Ovis aries: one gene and its partner. The main gene of each other region encodes a partner of the protein of the gene in region 2 in a complex. Links are inferred from orthologs where the notes say so. Each region holds a gene or a part of one and is shown on either strand. Other genes may lie near its edges.

The links. The genes of interacting proteins can lie anywhere in the genome.
Region 1: the proteins of AMHR2 (region 2) and AMH are in contact, whole or in part, in a crystal structure (PDB 7L0J), measured with the Homo sapiens proteins. The link is inferred for Ovis aries from reciprocal best matches to the Homo sapiens genes AMHR2 and AMH. Residues at the interface, in NP_065434.1 of Homo sapiens: Gly31, Val32, Arg33, Gly34, Ser35, Thr36, Thr38, Leu39, Phe62, Ile64, Glu75, Met76, Arg80, Asp81, Ser82, Glu84, Pro85, Ser95, Arg97, Ala98, Pro100, Ser101, Leu106, Thr108; in NP_000470.3 of Homo sapiens: Leu471, Arg472, Glu474, Val477, Leu478, Ile479, Pro480, Glu481, Thr482, Tyr483, Gln484, Lys534, Leu535, Ile537, Leu539, Glu542, Arg543, Ile544, Ser545, Ala546.

The regions. Positions count from the first base shown.
Region 1 is NC_056058.1:19,191,506-19,195,631, forward strand, and holds the start of AMH (muellerian-inhibiting factor precursor), read left to right. Parts: upstream 1-1,325; 5' UTR 1,326-1,335; coding exon 1,336-1,789; intron 1,790-2,431; coding exon 2,432-2,574; intron 2,575-2,796; coding exon 2,797-2,905; intron 2,906-3,012; coding exon 3,013-3,175; intron 3,176-3,259; coding exon 3,260-4,118; 3' UTR 4,119-4,126. Other genes in the region: SF3A2 (splicing factor 3A subunit 2), read left to right, coding at 1-545. UniProt on the Homo sapiens protein: Plays an important role in several reproductive functions. Induces Muellerian duct regression during male fetal sexual differentiation. Also plays a role in Leydig cell differentiation and function.
Region 2 is NC_056056.1:133,077,847-133,080,943, forward strand, and holds part of AMHR2 (anti-Muellerian hormone type-2 receptor), read right to left. Parts: intron 2,895-3,097; coding exon 2,780-2,894; intron 2,637-2,779; coding exon 2,464-2,636; intron 2,313-2,463; coding exon 2,165-2,312; intron 1,989-2,164; coding exon 1,852-1,988; intron 422-1,851; coding exon 212-421; 3' UTR 1-211. UniProt on the Homo sapiens protein: On ligand binding, forms a receptor complex consisting of two type II and two type I transmembrane serine/threonine kinases.

The DNA.
Region 1 (4,126 bases), on a different chromosome or scaffold from region 2:
CAGCCTCTGGGGTGCATCCCCCTGCTCCTGGGGTCCATCCCCCAGCTCCTGGGGTCCACCCCCCGGCACCAGTGGTTCACCCACCAGCATCTGGGGTCCACCCCCCTGCTCCAGGGGTCCACCCTCCAGCCCCAGGAGTCCACCCTCCTGCTCCGGGAGTCCACCCTCCAGCCCCAGGGGTCCATCCTCCCCCATCTGCTGGTGTTCACCCCCAGGCACCAGTGGTGCACCCACCAGCTCCTGCAGTTCACCCCCAGGCTCCGGGGGTGCACCCGACTCCTGCCGTTCACCCCCAGGCTCCAGGGGTCCACCCACCAGCTCCTGGGGTCCACCCACCAGCCCCTGGGATCCACCCCCAGCCTCCTGGGGTCCACCCCCCTCCTCCTGGGGTCCATCCTCCGGCTCCTGGGGTCCATCCTCAGCCACCTGGGGTGCACCCCTCAAATCCTGGGGTGCACCCCCCAACGCCCATGCCCCCGATGCTGAGGCCTCCACTGCCCTCCGAAGGCCCTGGGAACATTCCTCCCCCTCCCCCCACCAACTGAAAAGCCACCCCCATCCTAGCAAGTCTGGTTTGGTTTTCCTGGGTTTCGCCCTCAGAGTAGAGTTCTTTTGTACTGGGCTGGGTGTCCTCAGAGCTCATTAAAGAGTCTGCTGACCCTGAACTGGACTGCTGTGTTAACCTGTGGGCGGTCAGCTTGCTGTGGGTGAACACACGTGACTGCTTTCCACCACCATAGGGGGTGTCAGGGTCCCACCTGGACCACAGGGGGTGGCCCCTGCTGTCTCTGCAAGGACAGACCCTGTGGGCCAGCAGAATGTGGGGTGGTTCTCTGGGAAGACAGCAGAGCGAAGAAGGCTGCTCACTCTCCTTGGGGGTCTCTGTGGGCCTCAGAGGTAGGGTGAGCGAGCACGTGGGGTCACTGGGGGACAGACCTGCCTACCCGATGTGAAGCGTCATCCCCCTTGGGGCTGGCACCTGAATCCTCCTGGGGCAGGGGCTCCACACCTTGCCCTCCAACACCCCCAGGTTGTTGATAGTCTGACTGTCTGGGGCATGCACTCCTGCTCACATTCCTGCTCTGGGGAGGGGAAAGATTTGTCAAGGACAGTCTGACAAATGGGTCACAGGCCACACACACTGTATCACTGCTCAGGAGATAGACAGGCAGGTTGGAACAGAGGGGGCTTTGAGAAGGCCACAGGCCTCCCAGGCTCGCAGCAGGCACCAGTCTCCAAGGTCATGTCCCAGGAGGAGATAGGGACTGCCCTGTACCACAAACAGCCCTGCTCCCCTTATAAAGTAGGGCAGCGCAGCCCCTGGAAGCTCCCAGGATGCCCGGTCCATCTCTCTCTCTGGCCCTGGTGCTGTCGGCCATGGGGGCTCTGCTGAGGCCAGGGACCCCCAGGGAAGAGGTCTCCAATACCTCAGCCTCGCCCAGGGAGCAGGCCACAGGCAGCGGGACACTCATCTTTCAGCAAGGCTGGGACTGGCCACTCCCCAGTCTCTGGCTGCCAGGCAGCCCTCAGGACCCCCTGTGCCTGGTGACCCTGCATGGGAGTGGCAACGGGAGCAGGGCCCCCCTGCGGGTGGTGGGGTCCCTGAGCGGCTATGAGCAGGCCTTCCTGGAGGCTGTGCGGCGCACCCACTGGGGCCTGAGTGACTTGACCACCTTCGCTGTGTGCCCCGCTGGTGACGGGCAGCCTGTGCTGCCCCACCTGCAGCGGCTGCAGGCATGGCTGGGGGAGCCCGGGGGTCGGTGGCTGGTGGTCCTGCACCTGGAGGAAGGTATGTGTTGTGTCGGGGCTGGGGTGGGAGGCCAGGCTCTAGTGCCCTCCTCCCAAGAGCAGAGGACTGCAGAGCCCCCAGCCCAGACCCCTCCCCAGTCTCAGGAAGTGGAGGCTAATGGCCAGAGAGGTGGGTCACTGTATCTTTGCTTGTTTGGGGCCAGAAGTTCTCCAGCTCCCAGCCACCCCTCTCCCCATGCAGTGCCTGGCAGAGGGGGATGTGGGGGCTAACACCTTGTTCACCTACCTGGGAGCTACACAGTGGGGGATGGAGGAGGGAGGCAGGTCAGTGCAGCCTGATGGTCCAGCAGAGGAGTGCCTCTCCCTCCACACTGGGTAGCAAGAGGTTCCTGTTCCAAGGGATCGCTGTCCTCAGACCCACTACCAGGACTCCCCCAGGAGCTCTCCAGGCCTAGAGCCCCCAAGGGCTGGGGAAACACAGGTGGCAGCCCCACTGCCCACCCTATCCATCACTTCTAGGCCACTCCTGTCCCAGAGAAGCCAGGAGCCAGCGTCAAACCTCTCACCAGGTTCCCCCAGGCTTTGGTTGGCGTGGGGTCTCCTATGGAGGGGACAGGCTTAGGGGAGGTGCTCAGGCTTCGGTGGCTCAGGTGCCTCCCTTCTTCCTTTGTCCTGGCCGCAGTGACGTGGGAGCCGACACCCTTGCTGAGGTTCCAGGAGCCTCCACCTGGAGGAGCCAGCCCCCCAGAGCTGGCGCTGCTGGTGTTGTACCCAGGGCCTGGCCTGGAGGTCACTGTCACCGGGGCTGGGCTACCAGGCACCCAGGTACCAGGGAGTGGAATGTGGCTCTCTCAGGCCCCCCAGGCCCCCCCACAGAGCAAGGGAGGGATTATGGGTTTGTGTTTGTGTTGTTTTTAACTTGGCCTCACAGAAAGGCCACAAGTGTCCAGGCTAGACCTTGAGGGGATGTTAAGGGCAACAGGCAGAGCAGGGTTGGCATCCATGCCCTTCCCCCAACCTGGCTGAACTCCCCGTGTCTGCCTGCAGAGCCTCTGCCTGACCGCAGACTCGGACTTCCTGGCCTTGGTCGTGGACCCTCCGGAGGGGGCCTGGCGCCGGCCTGGGCTAGCCCTGACCCTGCAGCGCCGTGGAAATGGTAGGCCTTGCCTCGACAGGGACCCTACTGGGTGGCTGCCCTCGACCCGCAGACCCCAGCCCATCCCCGGCCGCTGAACCGCACGGCACACGCGCCTTCCCTCTCAGGTGAGCCCCTGAGCACCGCCCAGCTGCAGGCGCTGCTGTTCGGTGCAGACTCCCGCTGCTTCACACGAAAAACCCCGGCCCTGTTGCTCTTGCTGTCGGCGCGGTCGTCGGCACCGATGCCCGCGCACGGTCGGCTGGACTTGGTGCCCTTCCCACAGCCCAGGTGCGCGCAGGCTCGGACCTGGGGATGCGGGGAGTGTGGACGCCGCAGCCTTGCGCCCTCCCGACCCCCGACTCTGCTGTCCAGGCCTTCCCCAGAGCCAGAGGAGGCACCGCCCAGCGCCGATCCCTTCCTGGAGACTCTCACGCGCCTGGTGCGCGCGCTGCGGGGACCCCCGGCCCGGAGCTCGCCACCGCGACTGGCCTTGGACCCCGGCGCACTGGCTGGTTTCCCGCAGGGCCAGGTCAACCTGTCGGACCCCACGGCCCTGGAGCGCCTGCTGGACGGCGAGGAGCCGCTGCTGCTGCTGCTGCCGCCAACAGCAGCCACCACCGGGGTCCCCGCAACGCCGCAAGGTCCCAAGTCCCCTCTGTGGGCCGCGGGACTAGCGCGCCGTGTGGCTGCCGAGCTTCAGGCAGCAGCTGCCGAGCTGCGCGCCCTCCCTGGGCTGCCTCCTGCCGCCCCTCCGCTGCTGGCGCGCCTGCTGGCACTGTGCCCTGGAAACCCAGATGGCCCCGGCGGCCCGCTGCGCGCTCTGCTGCTACTCAAAGCGCTGCAGGGCCTGCGCGCTGAGTGGCGCGGGCGGGAGCGGAGCGGCTCTGCACGGGCGCAGCGCAGCACCGGAGCCGCGGCTGCAGACGGGCCGTGCGCTCTGCGTGAGCTGAGCGTAGACCTGCGGGCCGAGCGCTCGGTGCTCATCCCCGAGACATACCAGGCCAACAACTGCCAGGGCGCCTGCGGCTGGCCTCAGTCGGACCGCAACCCACGCTACGGCAACCACGTGGTGCTGCTGCTGAAGATGCAGGCCCGCGGCGCCGCCCTGGCGCGCCCGCCCTGCTGTGTGCCCACAGCCTACACAGGCAAGCTCCTCATCAGCCTGTCCGAGGAGCGCATCAGTGCGCACCACGTCCCGAACATGGTGGCCACCGAGTGCGGCTGCCGGTGACCTCCCGC
Region 2 (3,097 bases):
TTAGCAGCAGCAGCAGGATATAGTGGAGGACAGAGGAGCCTGGCATGCTGCAGTCCATGGAGTCACAGAGAGTCAGACACAATCTAGCGACTGAACAACAACAAACACAGGTTCTACATAAATGCATATTTACACAGACGTCCAGGTAGGTTGAGGATTTCTGGAAAAAGGGCCTTGCTGAACCATGAAGTGGCAGGCACTCAGCTGCAGCCTACTGAGGAGAATGGCAGACGGGAGGAGTGGAGAGATGGTCTTCCAGGCAGCAAGGTGAGCAGTCCTGCGCACAGCCCTCAGGGAAGGGGTGGGCCTCCTCAGGAGAGGCCAGGGCAGCCAGGCGCTTCTGTACACACTCAGCTGTTAGCCGCGCTTCAGGGTCTGCATCCCAGCAGTCCTCCAGGAGCTCTCTCAGGCCTCCAGGGTCCTGGGAAGAATGACCGGGAGGCAGGCTTTACTTCAGGACCCTGAGTGGCCCCAGCTTTAAAAGGCATCCTTGATGGCCCAGGTCTCAACACTCCTCTACTGTTCCTTCCTGGAGCCTCCTTCCTCCCCTTCACCCAAATCACGCCTTTCATTTCCTCTCTTATGAGAAAAGTTCTCTCCAAAGAGTCCACCTTTTCCTTTGAGATGCTAGTTCAGACTCATTAATGGTTTAACTGTTCTTTTCTCTCAGGCAACCAGGGTCTTCTGCAAACAATACCCGGGCCTTTGTTACCAAACCCAACAGACAGTTGTGCAGTGGAAACCAGATCAGGTAGCAGGGGAAGGGGCCTCCTGTAAGGAAACTTTTCCGAAGAAACCCTGAAATTTCACTATTCAGGCACTGCTTTAACCCTTATCCCTAGATCTGGCTTTAATTGGGTCATGACAGAAACACAGAGGTGTAAGACAGAATGAGGAAATTATTGGATTAAATATTGGGCTTCAGGGGACTTCCCTGGTGGTCCGGTAGTTCAGAATCCAAATTGCTATCCAAGGGACATAGGCTTGATTCCTGGTGGGGGAATTAAGATGCTACATGCCTGAGAATCTAAGCGCAGAAGCCACATCTACTAAGCCTGTGTGCTCCGGAGCCCAAGAAACACAGCTACAGAGTCTGTGTGCCCCAGTGAAAGACCTCGCATGACGCAACAAAGATCCCATGTGCCACAACTACGACCCGATGCAGCCAAATAAATAATAGATAATTTTTTAATCTATTCTTCCCTGGTGGTACAGTGGTTAAGAATCCACCTGCCAATGCAAGGGACACAGGTTTGATCCCTGCTCCAGGAAGACTCCACATGGCATGGAGCAAATAAGCCCATGCATCACAACTAGGGAAATCCGCGGGCCCAGAGCCTGTGTTCCTCAACAAGAGAAGCCACCGCCACGAGCAGCCCACGCACCACAACTAGAGAAAGCCCAAGCGCCCCAGTGAAGACCCAGCATACACAAAAATAACAAATAAATAAACACTTTTTAAAAAATGTTGAAAAACAAATATTGGGCTCCAGTGTACAAGGAAAGCAGCCATCTTGGGGGCAGAGCTCAGACCAGAAGCAAAGCCAAGGAGGGCTTCCTGGAGGAAGGAACTGAGGAACAAGGCAAACTGATGATGGAGAGAAGAGGGATGGACAGGGCAAACCTGAGCAAGAGGAAGGTGCGTGTCTCAGGAACGGGGTATGTGAGGCTTACAGTGGAAAGGGAAGAACTGGAGTATAGAGCAAGTTTGCCCAGCTCCAGCTGACCATGAGCCAGGAGCGGTGGGAGCTGAGAAGGGATAGGAACAGGTAGGCTGTCCTGATGCATAGGTCCCTGAAGCCCGTGTCGAGACTGTCCAGGTCCCAAGCCCACCAGCCCACACCCTCTTACTGTGGTAAAGCAGCACCAGGTAGATGGAACGTGAGGGCGCCTCCTCTCCTCCACTGCCAAGGTCCACAGCTCACAGGTGGTGGGGGCGCTGCCCAGTTCTGCCTCATAGGCCAGTTGGAAGGGTGGTGGTCTGCTGTCTGGGAAAAGGCACATGAAGCTAGGTGTCAGGTAGCCCAAGGGGTGCCTTCTTGTAGAAAGATCAAGAGGGAGAAGGGTAGAGCTTCCTGGGTCAGGAGGTAGGTGAGTATAGAATGGGCAGGTGGGGCACGGGGGTGGGGGGCGGGGAGGGGGCCTCTGTCACACCCAGCCTCACCAGGTCGCAAATCTGGGCAGCGACTCATAATCTCCCACAAGAGCAGAGCCAGAGAGTAGACATCAGCTCGCCGCAGGGCCGTGCCCCAGTCCTGAAGGTCCAGAGTCTTGTCCAAGAGCTCCGGTGCCATGTACCGCTGGGTGCCAGCCTGGACGGCAGGGATCATCTCCATGGCAACCCTCACCGCAACACTGGTCCGCGCAAGCCCCCGTACACTATCGGTGCTGCTGCACTGTCGCTGCTTCGTCATCAGCAGCACCACCACCATCCTGGGTCTCACCCTCCTCCAGAGTACTGACCTCCATGATGGCAGCCGGGCCTCGGGGTTGACTAGGGGCCCAGGTTGGGGGCTGGGCGAGGCCAGGGAGCACCAAGGCGAGGCCCAGATCTCCAATGGCACATGACCCATCGTCCCGAATGAGCACATTCTGGCTGCTCAGATCTCGGTGGGCGATACCTGGTTTATACTGGCCTGTGGGAGAAGCCAGGCTGAAGGGGCACAGATCTTCTTCCTTTGTCTTTTTGACCCAATCCTTCCCCTCCAAGCTAAAGGGAAAATCAGAAACAGCAGCATGGCTCCTGACTCCCATGGCTTCCCGCCCCCAGCTCACCCACCATCCTGCCAACGTTCCTCATGGAGAAACGCCAGGCCCTGCGCCAGGGACAGTGCCATCCGCAGGGAACTGCCCCAGTCACTGGTGTGCTGGGTCAAGTAGTGGCACAGGGAGCCCTGAGGAGAAGCAGAGAGAAGAGGGGGACACACAAAGCTGGAGGAGGCTGATTCACCCCAGGGAGCAGAGATCAATTGTCAGACTTCCCTCCGCGTCTCCCAGCAGACTTACGCACGACACACCCAGAGCAAGGCAGTAGGCAATGCAGGAGTGAGGGTGTACACCACTCAGATTGACAGGAAAAAATAGTAGCTCTAGTTTA